Neodiprion lecontei: one gene and its partner. The protein of the gene in region 1 binds, or shares a complex with, the protein of each later gene. Links are inferred from orthologs where the notes say so. Each region holds a gene or a part of one and is shown on either strand. Other genes may lie near its edges.

What was found.
Region 2: putative U5 small nuclear ribonucleoprotein 200 kDa helicase (region 1) and splicing factor 3B subunit 2 share a complex: the UniProt entries of both Homo sapiens proteins name them as parts of the minor spliceosome. The link is inferred for Neodiprion lecontei from reciprocal best matches to the Homo sapiens genes SNRNP200 and SF3B2.

Annotation. Positions count from the first base shown.
Region 1 is NC_060265.1:26,203,072-26,210,224, forward strand, and holds the start of putative U5 small nuclear ribonucleoprotein 200 kDa helicase, read left to right. Parts: upstream 1-2,710; 5' UTR 2,711-2,960; coding exon 2,961-3,005; intron 3,006-3,254; coding exon 3,255-3,418; intron 3,419-3,554; coding exon 3,555-4,074; intron 4,075-4,269; coding exon 4,270-4,516; intron 4,517-4,663; coding exon 4,664-4,994; intron 4,995-5,091; coding exon 5,092-7,153. Other genes in the region: uncharacterized protein LOC107219073, read right to left, coding at 1-116, 503-635, 708-893, 1,137-1,444, 1,632-1,692, 1,788-1,900. UniProt on the Homo sapiens protein: Catalyzes the ATP-dependent unwinding of U4/U6 RNA duplices, an essential step in the assembly of a catalytically active spliceosome. Plays a role in pre-mRNA splicing as a core component of precatalytic, catalytic and postcatalytic spliceosomal complexes.
Region 2 is NC_060266.1:54,037-64,014, forward strand, and holds splicing factor 3B subunit 2, read right to left. Parts: upstream 6,921-9,978; 5' UTR 6,504-6,920; exon of another isoform or gene 6,438-6,503; 5' UTR 6,277-6,437; coding exon 6,253-6,276; intron 5,358-6,252; coding exon 2,946-5,357; intron 2,684-2,945; coding exon 2,615-2,683; 3' UTR 1,826-2,614; downstream 1-1,825. Other genes in the region: GPI ethanolamine phosphate transferase 1, read left to right, coding at 1-219, 298-622, 824-1,250, 1,415-1,825; synaptotagmin-14, read left to right, coding at 7,717-7,750, 8,018-8,206, 8,470-8,604, 8,749-8,810, 9,033-9,230, 9,366-9,692, 9,937-9,978. UniProt on the Homo sapiens protein: Component of the 17S U2 SnRNP complex of the spliceosome, a large ribonucleoprotein complex that removes introns from transcribed pre-mRNAs.

The DNA.
Region 1 (7,153 bases):
GCTCTGTTGCAATAAAATTCCTGACAACGCTGGCAGCGGCCTGAAGCTGGTTTGGTACAGTATTGACACTTGCCGATCTGCTCAGCAATTCTATTTACGCCATACTGATAGAGCCCCTGAAAAAAAAATTTGTACATGCGTTTTTTTTATTCTGCTAATTTTGCAAAGATTATGCCATGAATGAATACACAAGCAATTAAGTCAAATAGGATTGTAAAATTTTTGTTTAAATTTGTAGCTCAATTCGATTTGACATGAGGTGCCCACAACAGGTTTTGGAAAATGTAACGAAAACTTTATCTGATGTAATTTGTTATTTTATTGACAGGTGAGGCTAAACAAGCTACACTATTCAAAAAGTAAAATTTTGCGATGAAAAGGTAGAGATAATGCATCGCAATTGAATCGTAAGCGATATTTCCTGTAATTCTCTCATATGCTAGACAGTACCCTTTTTGATAAGTCAGAATCGAATATTGAATATAGGTAAATATGAACTTACGGCTTCTCTTTTTTCGTAAACAGCTCTTATATGCTGGTGCACATTAGGATATCGTGGTGGCAGTTCATACCTGGTGTAGCCACGCCCCATGGTAACATATCTGGTCCCATCAGTGGATACTTTCAGCCGATCTCTGAGAAAGGTTGAAAAGTATTGATGACAGCAAAACTTTAGTGTAAAAAATAAAGAGCGCAACAAACCTTACCTAGTCCACAAATTATTTGTATGTAAAAAAGGTTCTGCATTTTCATATGGATTATAATAAGCTGGATCATTGGGAACTGGATATAAACAATCATCCTCCTCATAGTACACAGGATCAGAAACAGGATCACTAACAGCCCTGTGCACCAATGCAGCCAAATTCTTACCACGACCCATATTACAGGTACTGCAACGCAGTTATTAAAATCAAAATTTTAGTTTTGTTACACAGTTTTACTAACAGATTTGGCTATGTGAGATAAATTTTTCGAGTCAACAGTATTGAGGGATAAATTGTTCATTTCGATGAAAAGTTATCCATAACTATACCTATGCTCTACCCATTGAGAGTAATATACACAAGTTATAAATCATTTGTAGAAGTTTTTAACTGTCTTTCGATTAGATTATGTATCCTTAGATAACTCACGGCGGTGCAGCATGTCGTGGAATCTGTTCAGGACTGAGGTACTCCCTCGGCTGGTTCTCTGGATTGCACGTAAAAGGTACTGGTTTGGATTCTATTGTCCGGCGAGGGCCCATATTTCGATCGAGTCGTTCCTCACGTTTCTTTGCAAATGTTACGCGAAGTTCCAAAGGTTTGACGCCATGGACCTCTCTGATGGCCTTTTCTGCCTCACGGAAACTCGTATAGCTCACAAACGCCCAGCCAGCATTCGGAGGGGATATAACACTGGACGGTGTGCCGTAATTCGCGAAAAGATGGGATACACCATCCTAAACAATTGGTTATTACGTAACGCTATGACAATTTCACTCGTTTCGGCAATTCGTATTTACGTGTTAGTCAAAATGGGGTATTAATCCAAAAATTGTAAACGAATGGATACTTTGTCATGAAGAATGTAACATGCAGTTGAATGGAGTTGTGAAAAGAACATTGCACATGTTGAACTTTGCATACCTGGTCTAGCTCTGCTGGGATATTCGACACGTAGAGTTTATACTCCGTTTCCGGTCCTCCCCTGTAATTATAAGATGACATGACATGCGAATTGCTGCAGTATTAAGCCGGGATCACGACATGGATGTAATATTGCAAGTGGTTTAAATTTCAAACCTAGCATAAGGCGTCAGATTCATTCCAGGTCCGTGCTCGTACGAATTGACGTTGGCGTCGCGGTAATGAGCAGCCATCGGATCCCAATTGTCTAAATTATTAGCCCGTGCCATTGCGTCTTGACGGTCAACCGTCCTCGAAATCTGAAAGGACGCTAGCAATCTTATCGCTCAGTTAGTTACGTTAATCGGGTAGGTATATACTGTTGACCACGCACTTTCTTTGCTTGTCACGTCACAATTACGCAGGCTTCCGAATAAGCACGTGGTATCGCTATTCACTTCTATTTACACGGTGTTTTCTTTTATTCTGCACTCTTTTAGCTGGACCGTTAAAAGTATGAAAACGAGTCGAATAGGGCAGAGGATTCAAGAAATAGCGGCACGTGGTACGCTCGGAGAAGTGCGTCTAATATGCTAAGTGCAAAAAGCCGACCGCATGCATGAAATTCTCTCTGCGCATGTGCACCATTTTGAATTTACAAGCTTTATTGTGTCGGACAAGTTACATCCAAGTAGAACTAATCGAAATATGCGCTTACCTTCTAGCTCAACTTGAATCGTAATTTCGGTTTCGTCTACGCTGATTATAAATGTCTTCGAATTTATTTACTTGGTATATTTTGAATCTTAATGTGCACGAGAAAATGGAACGAAACTTTCTTGGATCGTTGACTAGAGTTTCGGTATTCTAGAAACGCAAATCCGCACACTGCAGTCTACGCCTCGACTGTTAGGTTTTCACGGGCAGGAAAATGCTGCCGCCAGCCGCAGTATTTTGTTGCCTAGTTCTTGACCAATAGGAATGCCAAGAAAATAGATAATTCGTCTTTCGCGTGCACAGGTAGCGCTAGAGTCCGTAAGACCGTGGTAGGGACTCTCGGTAACGCTCGCCTGCTTTATTGACATTTCTATTGGTCAAAAATTCGGCAGCAAAATACTGCGGTGGCAAATCTGTGCCAGTGAAATTCCAGCCACTGGCCTCCTGACTTCTCGTTGATGACAGCACCGTACAGTAAATTCATTTATGCCTTCCTTTTCCGACTACCTTGTTTCGGTCCAATACCAAATGCGTCACCTAGGTATATAGACTGGATAGTTGACGCTTGGATCTGTACGTTACTGAAGTCTGACTGAGGTATAGAGATCAGTGTGTATATTCGACGCCGTAAACATGGCGGATGCTGCGGCTCGGCAGCTTCAATACGAATATAAAGCGGTAATTATTACTATTTCATTACAAGAAATGTGCTAAAGTACGACTGTAATACAAAGAAAAAATTTTGTGCAACACTTATTGTTCCAGCGTCTAAGTTACGATTAAAATTTGAGAACTCTGCTTTCGTACGAAAAACGTTCCGTCGTATAGGTTATATTTCTAGTTGTATTAATTGGTTGCCAAAACATAACTTACTTGTTGTACGTGTTTTGGAAAAACACTTTGGTGATTTAAGACTTTTTGTTCCAGAACTCCAATCTTGTCTTACAAGCTGACGTACGGCTTATAGAAAGACGTAGCAGAGATGAGGCGACTGGAGAAGTTATGTCCCTTGTGGGCAAATTGGATGGAACCAGGATGGGCGATAGACATCAAAGGACGAAACCAGGCAAAGCAGAAGAGCGTAAAGTGAAGTGAGTGAAGATGTAAATTTGCATAGCACTATTCTCACATTCAGTAGCAAAGCAAATTACTAAAATGCATTAGGTATTAAAATGAAAAATTTAAATTGAATCATTAACGACTGTAATACGGTACAACTTTTCTCAGACGTCAAAAACGTGATGAAGCGCAATATGACTTCACTCGTATGAAGGGTGCCACTCTCTTGTCAGAGGGTGTTGATGAAATGGTAGGAATTGTATACAGACCCAAAACACAAGAGACTCGTCAGACGTACGAAGTGTTACTGAGTTTCATTCAGGAAGCATTGGGCGATCAACCACGTGATATTCTCTGTGGTGCTGCTGACGAAGTATTAGCTGTGTTGAAAAATGATAGATTAAAAGAAAAGGAGAAGAAAAAAGAAACAGAGTTGCTGCTTGGTGGTTTAGCAGAAGAGAGATTCGCCCTCTTGGTTAATCTGGGGAAAAAAATCACGGATTTTGGCAGTGATGAAAAGACTACAACAAATGAAGAGAACATTGATGAGACATATGGTATAAATGTTCAGTTCGAAGAAAGCAGCGAAGAGGATGATGAAGATGTGTACGGAGAGGTTAGGGAAAATGACGATGAAGGGGATGAAGGAGAAGAAGCAAACATTGATCGTGCAATTCACGCGGAAAACGTATGTATCTAGTCAGTTTAGTTGAAATATTCATCAAGTCTGAAGTTTTTTAGTCATATAAACTTTTAACAATTCTATGTAATTGCATTTTTATTCAACTCTTTTCTATTCATATGTACAATTTTAATATCAGATATTACAGTATAGTATCTTAATTTTTTACATTCAGTAACTGTTTCTTTACCCTTCAAACAGCTTGGTGGTGCGGAGGAAATGAAGAAGGAAAAACCACTTCATCCGTTAGATATCGATGCTTATTGGCTTCAGCGGAGATTGAGCAGAATATACGATGATGCAATGGTATCCCAAGCAAGAGCTGCTGAGGTATTAGCAGTGTTACGAGATGCGGGTGATGATCGAGATTGTGAAAATCAGCTGGTTCTCCTGTTAGGATATGATTGCTTTGATTTTATCAAACAGCTTAAAAAATATAGACACATGAGTGAGTATCAAGCAACACTCACCTTTATAATTACAGAGCTAATATTTATGAATCATTAAATAGTTGAAACAGAAAGATTACAATTTGAACATTCATTAAAATTTATCTAGTTTTTTGGAAGTTTAAATATTCTGACTATTCTTACAGTTGCCTATTGCACGATGTTGGCATCGTCTCAATCCGAATCGGAGAGACAAAAGATAAGAAATAAAATGAATGATGATTTGTCTCTGGCAAAGATCTTGCGTCAGCTAGACACGGGAAAGGGTGATGATGATGCTGAAGAAACAATGGAAGCACGTGCACAACGCAAGCGGCTGGAGGAGAACGAGGATGGAGCTGGTGGTCCTGGTGGTCAAGTTCAAGGATCGAGAAATCTGATTGATTTAGAGGATTTGATATTTGCTCAGGGAAGTCACTTTATGGCCAACAAACGTTGTCAGCTACCAGATGGAAGTTTCAGAAAACAAAGAAAAGGGTAATATATTTTTTATTTTAATGATGAACAAATTTTTGGTAGAAAATCGCTACTATTTGAAACTGAACAAGCTAACACTTCAAATCTCTCATCTCAGGTACGAAGAGGTCCATGTCCCAGCACTGAAACCAAAGCCATTCGGGGAGAATGAGAAACTGCACCAAGTTGATCAGCTTCCGAAATACGTACAGCCGGCGTTCGAGGGTTTCAAAACGTTGAACAGAATTCAGAGTCGGCTTCAAAATTCGGCGTTGGAAAGCGATGAGAATCTGTTGTTATGTGCGCCAACTGGAGCAGGTAAGACAAACGTCGCCCTGCTCTGTATGATGCGAGAAATCGGAAAACACATAAACGCCGACGGAACGATAAACGCTGACGAATTTAAGATAATATACGTTGCGCCAATGCGGTCGCTTGTACAAGAAATGGTAGGAAACTTTGGAAAGCGTTTGGCAAGTTACAATTTGATCGTGTCTGAACTCACGGGTGACCATCAGCTGACAAGAGAACAAATCGCGGCAACACAAGTAATAGTTTGCACACCTGAGAAATGGGATATAATAACTCGTAAAGGAGGCGAAAAAACTTTCACGTCTCTTGTCAGATTGGTGATTATCGACGAGATTCATTTACTCCACGATGAGCGAGGCCCAGTTCTCGAAGCGCTGGTTGCCAGAACCATAAGAAACATTGAAACAACCCAGGAAGATGTGCGGCTAGTCGGTTTATCGGCTACCCTTCCAAACTACCGAGATGTAGCTGCGTTTTTGCGGATAAAACCAGAAACCGGATTGTTTTACTTTGACAACAGCTACAGGCCAGTTGCTCTGGAGCAGCAGTATATTGGTGTGACTGAGAAAAAGGCACTGAAGAGATTCCAGGTGATGAACGAGATTGTGTACGAAAAAACGATGGAACATGCAGGAAGAAATCAAGTCCTAGTATTTGTTCACTCCAGAAAAGAAACTGGGAAAACTGCCAGGGCCATCAGAGACATGTGTCTTGAGAAAGACACGCTTGGTCAGTTCTTGCGTGAAGGATCTGCGTCGATGGAAGTACTCAGGACTGAAGCTGAGCAGGTTAAGAATCAGGAACTGAAAGACTTGCTTCCGTATGGTTTCGCTATTCACCACGCCGGAATGACCAGGGTCGATCGTACCTTGGTCGAGGATTTGTTCGCCGATCGACACATTCAAGTTTTAGTATCTACCGCAACTTTGGCATGGGGAGTCAACTTGCCAGCTCACACAGTAATTATCAAAGGCACGCAGGTTTACAACCCAGAGAAAGGTCGCTGGGTGGAATTGGGCGCGCTTGATGTCCTGCAGATGTTGGGGCGAGCTGGTCGTCCACAATATGATACTAAAGGTGAGGGAATACTGATAACGAACCATAGCGAGCTCCAATATTATCTCTCGCTTTTGAATCAGCAACTCCCTATTGAATCTCAGCTTATAAGCAAGATGTCAGACATGCTGAACGCGGAGATTGTGCTTGGAACAATTCAAAATATACGAGATGCTGTTACATGGCTCGGATACACTTATCTCTACATCAGGATGTTGCGGTGCCCACAACTCTACGCCATACCTCATGATAAACTTAAGGAAGACCCGTTGCTAGAGCTACACAGAGCGGATTTAATACATTCAGCTGCTCTGGGATTAGACAGAAGTGGATTGATTAAGTATGATAGAAAATCTGGACATTTTCAGGCGACCGAATTAGGTAGAATCGCGTCCCACTATTATTGTACGCACGATACCATGTCCACTTACAATCAACTCCTCAAGCGTACTTTGAGCGAGATTGAACTGTTCAGAGTGTTCTCATTATCAAGCGAATTCAAGAATATCAACGTCAGGGAAGAAGAAAAATTAGAGTTACAGAAACTGATGGAAAGAGTACCCATACCTATAAAGGAGAGTATTGAAGAGCCGAGCGCCAAGGTCAACGTTCTTCTTCAGGCTTACATATCTCAATTGAAGCTTGAGGGTTTCGCACTAATGTCTGACATGGTATACGTTACGCAGTCAGCATCCAGACTGATGAGAGCTATTTTTGAGATTGTCTTGTTCCGAGGCTGGGCTCAGCTAGCGGACAAATGTCTATCCCTCTGTAAAATGATCGATCGAAGGATGTGGCAGTCAATGTCGCCG
Region 2 (9,978 bases), on another chromosome or scaffold:
AAGGACTAATGTCGCTTGCCAAGGAATCTCTTGTTTATTTTCGCGAGTATCACAGAGGTCGGCTCATGTTTTATTTGACAATTTCATGGCTGGGATGGATCATGCTGCTCTTTCTCAAAATCACTAACATCTCGCTCGATGAGAATCGCCCAAAATTGGTATTACTCTGGGATGTCCTGTTCGTGTGCACCTCAATCCTTCTCTTTATTGTGCACAGAGGTAAGCGGCCCTAGTTACTTGACTGCCGAATTTTTTACAGCACTTTTGCAGCGGACAAGTTTGTTAAATAATCGAAAGTTTCAGGTACAAGTGGATGGCGTTTGCAAGGGTATGCATTATTGGCACTGCTTTCTTCATGGCTTGCCACTCGAAGTTTCAGCGCTAACCCTTGTCCATCGTTCCGTGGCGGATGGTATTGGATAGGTTGTACGATTTCTCTGACGTCGATTATGTCCTTTGCTTTAACGATGAGGTGGATATTCGGAGCAGCGACTCTGTGTATGTGCGTGATACAGGGTGTTCTCTTCAAGGACGCGGATCGTTTTCTTCCCTGGACAACAATCGTTTTGGCCGCCTTTCCGCTACTACCGACCGTAGGCCCCGACACACAGACACATCTCGTGTAAGAATCTGTCAGACAATTCCCTTTGCTTGATCTTTGTCCTGTCTGATAGTCATAGAAAGATGAGGAAGAATTTTACCTTATCCACTTTGAGCATTAAGTGGTAATGTAATGTTTCAAGTATTACATTACGTACCGACTTATGGTATATGACGCACGTGACCATGTGTCACGAAAGTAATGCAAGTATTTCTTCAACAGCTTGCTGGCCTTGGTTATTGGAGGAATGACAGTGATTACCGCCGACGATCGTCACATGAATATTTCTCTGAAGGCCGTGGAAGGTGTAAGACTTACAACAACAGCCTTAATATCTTCGGGACTCGTGGATGGTCGAAGCCTCTTGTCCTGGCTAATATTAATCTCTACGCCGTTGTGCATATGCGCTTATTCGGTTGAAGTCAAGGGTAGAATATTTGGAGTAAGTTTGGCATTTTTACCAACCCTTGCCTTACTCTCCGTATCGTATGAGCCACTCTTCCTTATCGCGTTGACGGGTCATCTTCTTTGTTGGCCTATGACTACTGACAAACGTTGTAAAATGTGGGGATTCAAGAAGAAGGAAACCATCAGCGTGAAAGACTTTTTGGTGGCTGGATTTTTTGTATCCTTTTACCTGCTGTATGAGGTGCGAGTAAAATTTAAAGTTGCTTCAAGCTTTGTACACATCATTGGTAATCTTATATTCAGCTCAAGCACTATCTGCACCTATCAGATTGTGCATGCAAGATATGTCGGAACCTTAGATACTCTTTTTTCTTACATGTTATGTTATTATTCATTCGGACTCAGATGCTGTACGTGCTACTGGGGTTCTTTGGTACTGGAAACATAGCAAGCATTAGTTCGTTCGACCCAACATGGACAAGACATTTTCTTACAGTATTCTCGCCATTCACCATGTGTACTCTGATCGTCCTGAAGACCAGCATTCCACTATTGGTTGTTGGGTGTGGTATCAGGACCCTTGCACCGTCAAACCTTTTCATGACGACAATCCTCCTTGCCGATTGTCTAACACTGCAAGTCATGCATACGGTTACACCCCGAGGTAGCTGGATGGACATTGGTAGTGCGATTAGCAGATTTGTAATCGCAATGACGTTACCTTGTCTGATGCTACTTCTTTATCATATTTCGCGTCTCCTGGTGACGTACAGTGTGTGGAAAATCGACCATTCTCAGATTAAGCAACATGTATAGGATTCATAATGTCATGTTACAGTACAGTATGCAGTACATACAAGTGCACCAACCAAAGTATTATTGTATTGATAATATAATATTAGAGATACGTATTTCAGTACAACCTGCGTTATTTTTTAGCTAGTTTTAAATTACGCACAAGCTCGAACCACATCGGTCTTAAACCCCTGCACTGTTGTTGTTGCATGAAATTCAGTAATTCTTCGTGGTGAAAAAGGGGATTTTACACAACTGTATAAAATTACGTATGATGTATGTATGTACTACCGGCCGGAGTAGTGTCGCGCACAGGTGTGTGAGACTGTGAATCGGGAGGAATTGAGTTCAAATCCCCAGCACGACTATGAGGACCTGCGCGAAAACTCTTAACAATTGTCAGTCGGGGGCTGAGTCAGCAAGCTGAGGTTTGAACTCGGCCCAGCTACATCTGGGTAAGGTATTCTGCAGTTTTCCTTGTTTTTTATGCATTCGCGCGGATTTCTATTGAACATCCTAAGCCAGGCTGCAGGCGCCCAATCACTTTCACAAATCTATTGCCTCTCTTGCCCTGCACAAGCCGAATGGCGTACAGGGACATACCGGGTGTATGCATACAGTTTTGGCCAATTATAATGTAGCCCACGTAATGGTGGGCAAAGTGATATAAATGATCGCATTCATTTTATAATTCAGATAGAGTTCGTATATAATGTGAAAGTATTGAATCACTTGAATGACATACATACGGTAGACACATGAACAATTTTGGAATATGATTAGGGGATACGTTGACGAGACAGGTTTCAATTAGAATTTGAATTCCTTGTACTTCTTGGATGCTTTGGTCTCCTGATTCTGCTGACGTTTTCTCTTGCTCTGCAACAATAACGTATTAGGTGTGAGCTTTGAGTCACTTGAAAGTAACGTATGCACCGCGACTGAGCATACCTGGCGATTATCTTTAAAAGGGTACGCTTATTTGTGTTGGTTACACAACACGTGCAATTGGCTTATAACTGGAAGGACAGCACTGGCAACGCAAATTATCGTAATAGATCGAATAGATAATCTCCCGGTACAGTAAAATGACAATAATTTGTGATTTACAATAATTTCTACTAAAAATTCAGAATATCACCTTTTGCCTTTGTACATGATCTTGAAGCATATCGGACAAGTCCTCGCGTCGCAGGTGAGCCTGGCGCGATCTCATTGTCTCTTCGTAACGTGAAGCCATTGCCTCTGAATCAAGGTCCAGCTCGCTTGGATCAAGCGCCAATTCAACAGCTGCGTCCCTGTCACCTTTACCTTCGGCAGATGTACTACCGCCGACACCCGCTGTTCCTAGACCACCTCCGCCGGCACCCGATGCGCTTGTTCCAACGGCCCCAGATCTACGAGCAGCTGCGATGACGGAGGGGGGTGCCTGACCTCCGACTGCACCAGTCATATCGTACACATGGGTACTTCCCATCATGCTTGCCCCAAGTCCCTCTGCGCGACGCTCCTGCAAAACTTGGTATAGCGCAGGCGTGTCCCCGCCCTCCATTTCGCTCTCAATCTTCTTCTTTCTGAGCTCAATGGTTTCGGGTGTTTCTAACCCCGCCGGAATTGACGCAATACCGCTCGGTGTGACTAAGCCTTCGGCACCGGGTGTAACCAAGCCACTTGCATCTCCGGCATCGCCCTCTTTTCCTTCAATCCCGTCACCCTCATTACCCTCCTCGGCGTCGTCCTCGTCTTCGTCCTCACCCGACGACTCTGATTCCGGCTCACCCCACATACCGCGATCAACTTCTTCGTCCATCGCATCGACCCCTGGCGCCCTGGCAACACCGAATACGTCTCCGTACAACGGGCGGCCCGTCTCGTCGACGGGTGGCTTACCCCATCCGCCAGCGTGATAACCGAATGCGCATCCCTCGGGTATAGGCGCATTCAGACCAGGAATCTTGAGGTTTGGATAACTCGGCGGAGGGCCATAACGTTGCATAGCGATCAACCAAGGTGGCGGTACCTTATGACAGTTCGGACCAACCGGCATTCCCAGAGCTGTTCGTAACTCGTCGGATAATTCACCGGGCTTCTTTTCCTTCAGTCTCGTTTCGAATTCCTTACCTTCGTAGTAGAGATCGCCGTGTATAGTCATACGGGGCTTTGTCTGCCACTTGAAAAATGCGTCATGAAGTTTCTGGTAGTCAATGTCTATTTTGCCAAGTTTCGGCCTTGCCCGTTCTCGCATTTTCGCCTTTAAGGTGCGTGTGTCATCCCGTTCCTGAAGGCTCGCTCGCATTTCCGTAATACCGGTACGCTTGATAAAATCAGGCAAATCGAAAGGAGGCTTTTCGATGCCTCGTTTACCCTGTAGGTACTTGCGCTTGAAGCACCAGTGTCTTGGCACAGGTACCGTATTTCGATGAGCTTTCAGCTGCACCAAAAGTTTGGGGTCCCGCGCTGTGACGTCGTGCATCTCTACAACATCTGGACGCCCGACGAGTTGCTTCAGTTCAGCCACACTCAGGCGCGTTAGCCTCTTCAGTTTGCGTTTAGAAAGACGCGGTGTGCCTCCTTCTCCGGTGCCCTGGCCTCCACCCTGCTGATTATGCTGATTCTGCTGGGATGGGTCGTCGTCAAAGTCGTCAATAGGCGGGATTTTGCTAAGTGGACCCGCTGCCAATGTGTTTGTCAAGGGTGGATACTGGCCAATGGGTTCAATCTTATCACTTGTTGCATTTTGGCCTATGCCCGTGCCACCGCGAACTTCAGGTTCCGTCAGCTTGAACGCGTCAAAAACTCTGGCAAATTGACGATACATTGGTTCCAAGTCATTGATACTCGGGATCTCTTGGATGTACTCAATCTGCGGGTCGTCAATGTTCCTGACCTTGACATCAGGCGTCCTGGTCTCGTTTACATCCTCATTCTTCTCATCGCTGCTCTTCTTCTTCCGTTTCTTTTTCTTTTTGCGGTTCTTGGTTCCCCTCACATCCTGTCGAACCCGTGGTGCGTCTGGTTCCGGAAGTAAGTCCTCCAAGAGAATCGAGTCTGGTAGTAAGTTGTCGCGTAAGTCAGAAGCTGGGTTAGATGGATGCGATGTTTGAAACATTGCATGGCCGTGAGCGCTGTTATCGTGGTCGTCGTTCAGATCACCGCCCAGCTCCTTGGCTCTCTCAGTTTTCAATGCAAGCGCCTGTTCCAAAGCAACAGGAAGCTTGGTCGTGCTCACTATGTCGGATACACCATTTCTTCCTTCTTTGCAGAGGTCCTCATTGTCGCCATCACGCACCTCTTCGGCCTTATTACCATGCTCCTCTGGAGTTCCAGAGAGCTGCATCTCGATCGGAGGTGCAATCTTTAAATTGAGAAGACTGGGCAACGGCGCTTGTGGTATTTCAACGGCAACCGACGGCATTCCCATGGTAGTCAATTTCGGTATAGTCGGGTGTGAATGATGGACAGAAGACGGAACGCTTGCTAGCTGTTTCTGAATCTCTTGCTGTTCCATTTGCCTTAACTGACGAGGATCCAGTATTATTTGCTGTCCCTGTGCCTGAAATATATAGTTTCACTCTTGATTTAATGTCTCACAAACACAAAACCAGGAATTTTGTACAAAAAAAAAGACAAAGTACACAAGTAGATAGACCGATTTTAATATCATGTAAATTATACTTCTGTGGCTGATCTTTTGCCAATTAACCCTAATCAAGATTGAGTGGTAACGAGAAAGTCTTCAACATTGAAGTCAAAAGACAAGGTGGAAAGACCTCGAACAGAAGCCCTCTGAAAGTGCGAGAGCGGGGAAGAAAGAAGAAGCACAGTGCAGGGACATAACATGTCGTTGCGGAGCGCTGAAACTGGTTTCTTAACCAATCTATGATTGAACTCATAACTGTAGGCTTTAGTCACTGGTTTGGCCTAGCTACTAGCAGCAGTTTCAAGTCAGTCTAGATTTACGGAAATGCAGTATGTTGAAACAGTCAGTGTCTACATCTCTTCACGAGGTGCGAACCAAGGTATAGGATAACAAGTAGAATGCTACGTCTCTTCCGTTGATTGAAGATTGCTAAATACAGCCAGTCACAGGTATTGATTTGGAGCAAGCAAACAGTAACCTTGGGCACAGAGGTAATGCCATTACTAGCCTACATTTATTGTCTCACTTAGGGGTTTTACAATATTGATCAAGCTATTATCGACAGGAAATTTCTATACCCAACCTTCCCTCGAAAACTCTCACTTAGTCGCACCGAGCATCAAAATCCGATTTATCTGGCTGGCTATATCAGCAACCTTCGGTCAACGGTAGATAATACGTTATTATTGACAGACTTGACAATAGAATTTTTCACCACTTCATATAAAGACATTACGACATTACTGTAAGAAGCGATGTATGGTGGATGGAAAGTTATTATTGAGTTAATTTCATAAGTATTACTAACCTCATTCCCAAGTGCTCCATCCATTTTATACGTGTATGTGTACCCTTAAACGTACTATGTACACCTCTGCCCGCAGCAAAGTCGCCACCTACATTCGTCGATCCTCTCTGCTTCTGAATTACGGTCAGTTTCGCAGTATTTCTCGTAAAATTCAACCAAAAATTCAGCGCAAAACCAGTCCTATCCTAGTAAAGTAACACCAACTATTCACGCTGTCATTTGTATGCCTACCACTCCTAACCTCTACATACGAAATCCTATGCCTTCTTCGTTCTTCTTCTTCTTCTTTCCTGAACGGCTATTCGCCAGTCCGATGACATGTGCCAATGCCTTCCTCGTTTGCCGAGTAATCTTCAAAAAATTGCCTCATCTACACCTCTGCACTGATTACGATGTAAGCCAATTCTTGAAGTCGTGCTGTAGCGTCGGTAACACTGCTGCTGACACAAGGGCACGATACACGGAGGGTTGCAGAGATGAATTCGTCATGTTAGGCGTTGACTGATGATATATTGCTCAGTCAACGTGTTGGGTGTCCAAAGCTTCTAGATCGCAACGACTCTGGTGGTCATAACAGGGACTGAATAAATCTTCCTTCACCAAAGACTACACACCCCCCACTCCAAAAAAGTGCCGGAGTTTCCAGACCTGCGTCTACAGATCATGATCTAAACAGACAAATGAAGCTGAATAGCACAAATTTAAATCTACCCCGTTCCGTTCATTCATATGGGATTCCGGCGATCCGTACGTACCTACGTGAGACGGCACCATGACTGCATCTAGCTGTGCTTACATTCTGCGATCGGATCTAGTAACTAAATTCTAGAATTATCGGGGAGTGGCTAACGACGTCACATACGCATACGGTCCAATCTGCGGGCTCACGAGGCACCAATCAAATCACAAGATTACACTCACCTTGTGACAAACTGGTCGCAACAGTTAAGTTAAAACCGCTGCGCCGCCCTACCGGGCTGAAACCGTAGCTTTGAGATTGCTCAAAACTGTCAATTCAAAATTCAAATCAATCAAGTAGGAAACTGTTGAATACGATCGTTTAAAAGTACATAAAAACGGAAATCGCATTGTTTCTTGCCCTGCATAGTATAGAGTAACGAATAAAGTAATAATCAAGACAAAACCTATTTTACATCGCAGTAAGCTCTAACCTGACATTTGCGTCAGGTGGACCGCACGCGCTTGCGGCGTCCGTTTTTACAGGGTAGGTATGCGGTGTGCAATGGTAATAAATATCAGTATTTAGTGATCGTGTGCGTTGCCCGGCGCACAGGGTCGCTAAGGGGGCGGGACCGCTGTTGTTTGTAAATAAAAAGTTTTCCGTATTTCGCGACAGCGCTACCCTGACGACTTAGCTACTCGAGCCATGAATTCTGTCCTACAGAAGATTTTTTTACCTTATAAATGTATAAAGCATATTATAGAATTACGAATTGAGCGAGTATGATTCTTGCTGGGTCGGACCATTTTCTGCCGGGTGAGTCCACTGTTGTCTTGCTTTTCACCAGATTCGTGCACAGTCGTTTCCACATTTCCTGGAACGCTCGCTAACCCAACCAACTACCTACAATTCTTGGTCCTTGTTACTGTTTCAAAAATTTACCCTAGTGAATGGACTGATATCAGCATGCTCAATTATAATGTAACATGCACACGCAGATATGTAACTTTCAGTTTTACCGTCACACAAGCAATGTAATCAGCTATACATGCATTACAACTGTAATTCTCATTGCCTTTGCAGTATCGGTCGAGACAGCGGCGTTTCTCGGTGCTGTCGCAGGATTCGGGGCTCTCCTGCTGGTTCTCTTCCTTTACTTGTCACGGAAATGGTGTTTCACATCTTCCCCACCTGCTACTTACTTTGGTGGCGTGTGCGTACCTTTTTGCCAGTCTAATAACAGCTCGTCATCCCAACTCAGCACGAATCTTGGTAACTCAAACAATTTAGTAACCATTGAAATGGATTTTCTATGATTTTCTCTTGCGCTGCGCACATCTCCGATTGTCTCAATTATTGAGTCTGATTGTTGAGCACTAAATAAAAAAAATGTATTACCAATGCAAAGTATTACAGAAAGGAAAAACTATTCCCATCATTGAATAGGCAATAGAATGATCGAGATTTCAAAAGTTCTTACTGAAATTAAAATAGTATTACTTCCACACCTGTACTGCAACTCAATTTTGACCCAGGCAAAACATTGGATTTCCATTCGGATGTGGAGACAAGTTCAGAATCTGAGGAGGAAGCATTGCGTCAGCCTAATTTTGGATCTCATCTCTCACGTGACAGCCTTGCCATAACAGCAGATGGTCCCGGGGCAACAGGCAAGTCAAGTTCTAACTTGTCTAATAATTGCTGTTTCTATAAAAACCCGTTCATCCTTTGCATGTACAAAGTGTACACAGAAATTGAATCAGTCACTTTTTATTATATTTGACACGATATTCATTCCTTAAAAAATAACGCAGATGTTGGAAAGGTATTGAGCTGCAGTGGTACAGAAGAGAAATCACTTCTGGATCGGCAACAGGTATGCCCAATATTCGGTTGACATTATATCCTACACCACATTGGGTAAAGCAGTTCCGCGAGAATCATGCGTCGGAATTTGTCTCGCACTTCCATTTTTTTCTAGCACATCGTCAAAATATTGGAACAAGGTTGGAAATCATGCACAGAAATTTACACACCGTAATATCGGTGAGAATGAGTCATTAACCGACATATTGTGAATTATAATCAAATTTCTTAGTGTGTAGTTGAAGTGGGTACCCCCAATGCGATTGGAACCGAAGAAATGGACATTAAAGATAAAAGGGAAGAGGAAAATAAAGCAGACCGGCAGCAATGTTTGAATCATCACAAGGAATCTCCTGTACCGATTCAAGCGGAGGAAATTCACAGCTTGGAGGTGGCGTTGATATACGACGCGCCGATGCGTGAAATGACGGTCTGTTCGCCATATAAAGACACTCATTAGTAACGGCGCTGACAATTATCCAATAATCAGAAAATAGATATATAAAGTCAGATTGCCTCATCGGATCATATTGGTTTAAAGGTAATGTGGCATTGTTTGTTGCAGGTTCAAGTGCTGCAGGGACGGAATTATCCGAATATGATAGGTGGTAGTCAGGTTCGTTTGGTTTTGTTGCCATCTAAGAAACAGAGACGCAAAACCAGAGTCCGTCAAGGGACTACGCCGCAATACATGGAAAGCTTTCTGCTACATCGTGTTAATCCTGAAGACGTGAATGGGATGGGTGTCAGGCTGAGGGTGTACTGGTGGACTGGGCGTATACGGAGGGAGAGATTGCTTGGAGAGGCAAGGGTTTCTTTTGACCAAATAAATCTGCAATTGGAAACCACACTGTGGCTACCCTTGCAACGCCCACCCCAATCTTTATCCACGGTAAAAATTTACTTTTATCTGATGTTTATACCACATTACTCATGTGATATGACAAAGCTGGCTATGTATGTAAATACACACGTACGTACATGTACAATATAGCTGACTATCGGCAAGGGGATGGAAACTCGAAAGAAACCCTTCAGTAGAAATGCTAATTTAGCATTACATTGCAGACAAGTAATTATTGGATAAATGAAACAGGATGAAAAAAATAAATAAATATTTTTACAATCGTAAATAGGTGCAGGATTGGGGAACAAGTGGTAGCTTGACCCGCAGCGAT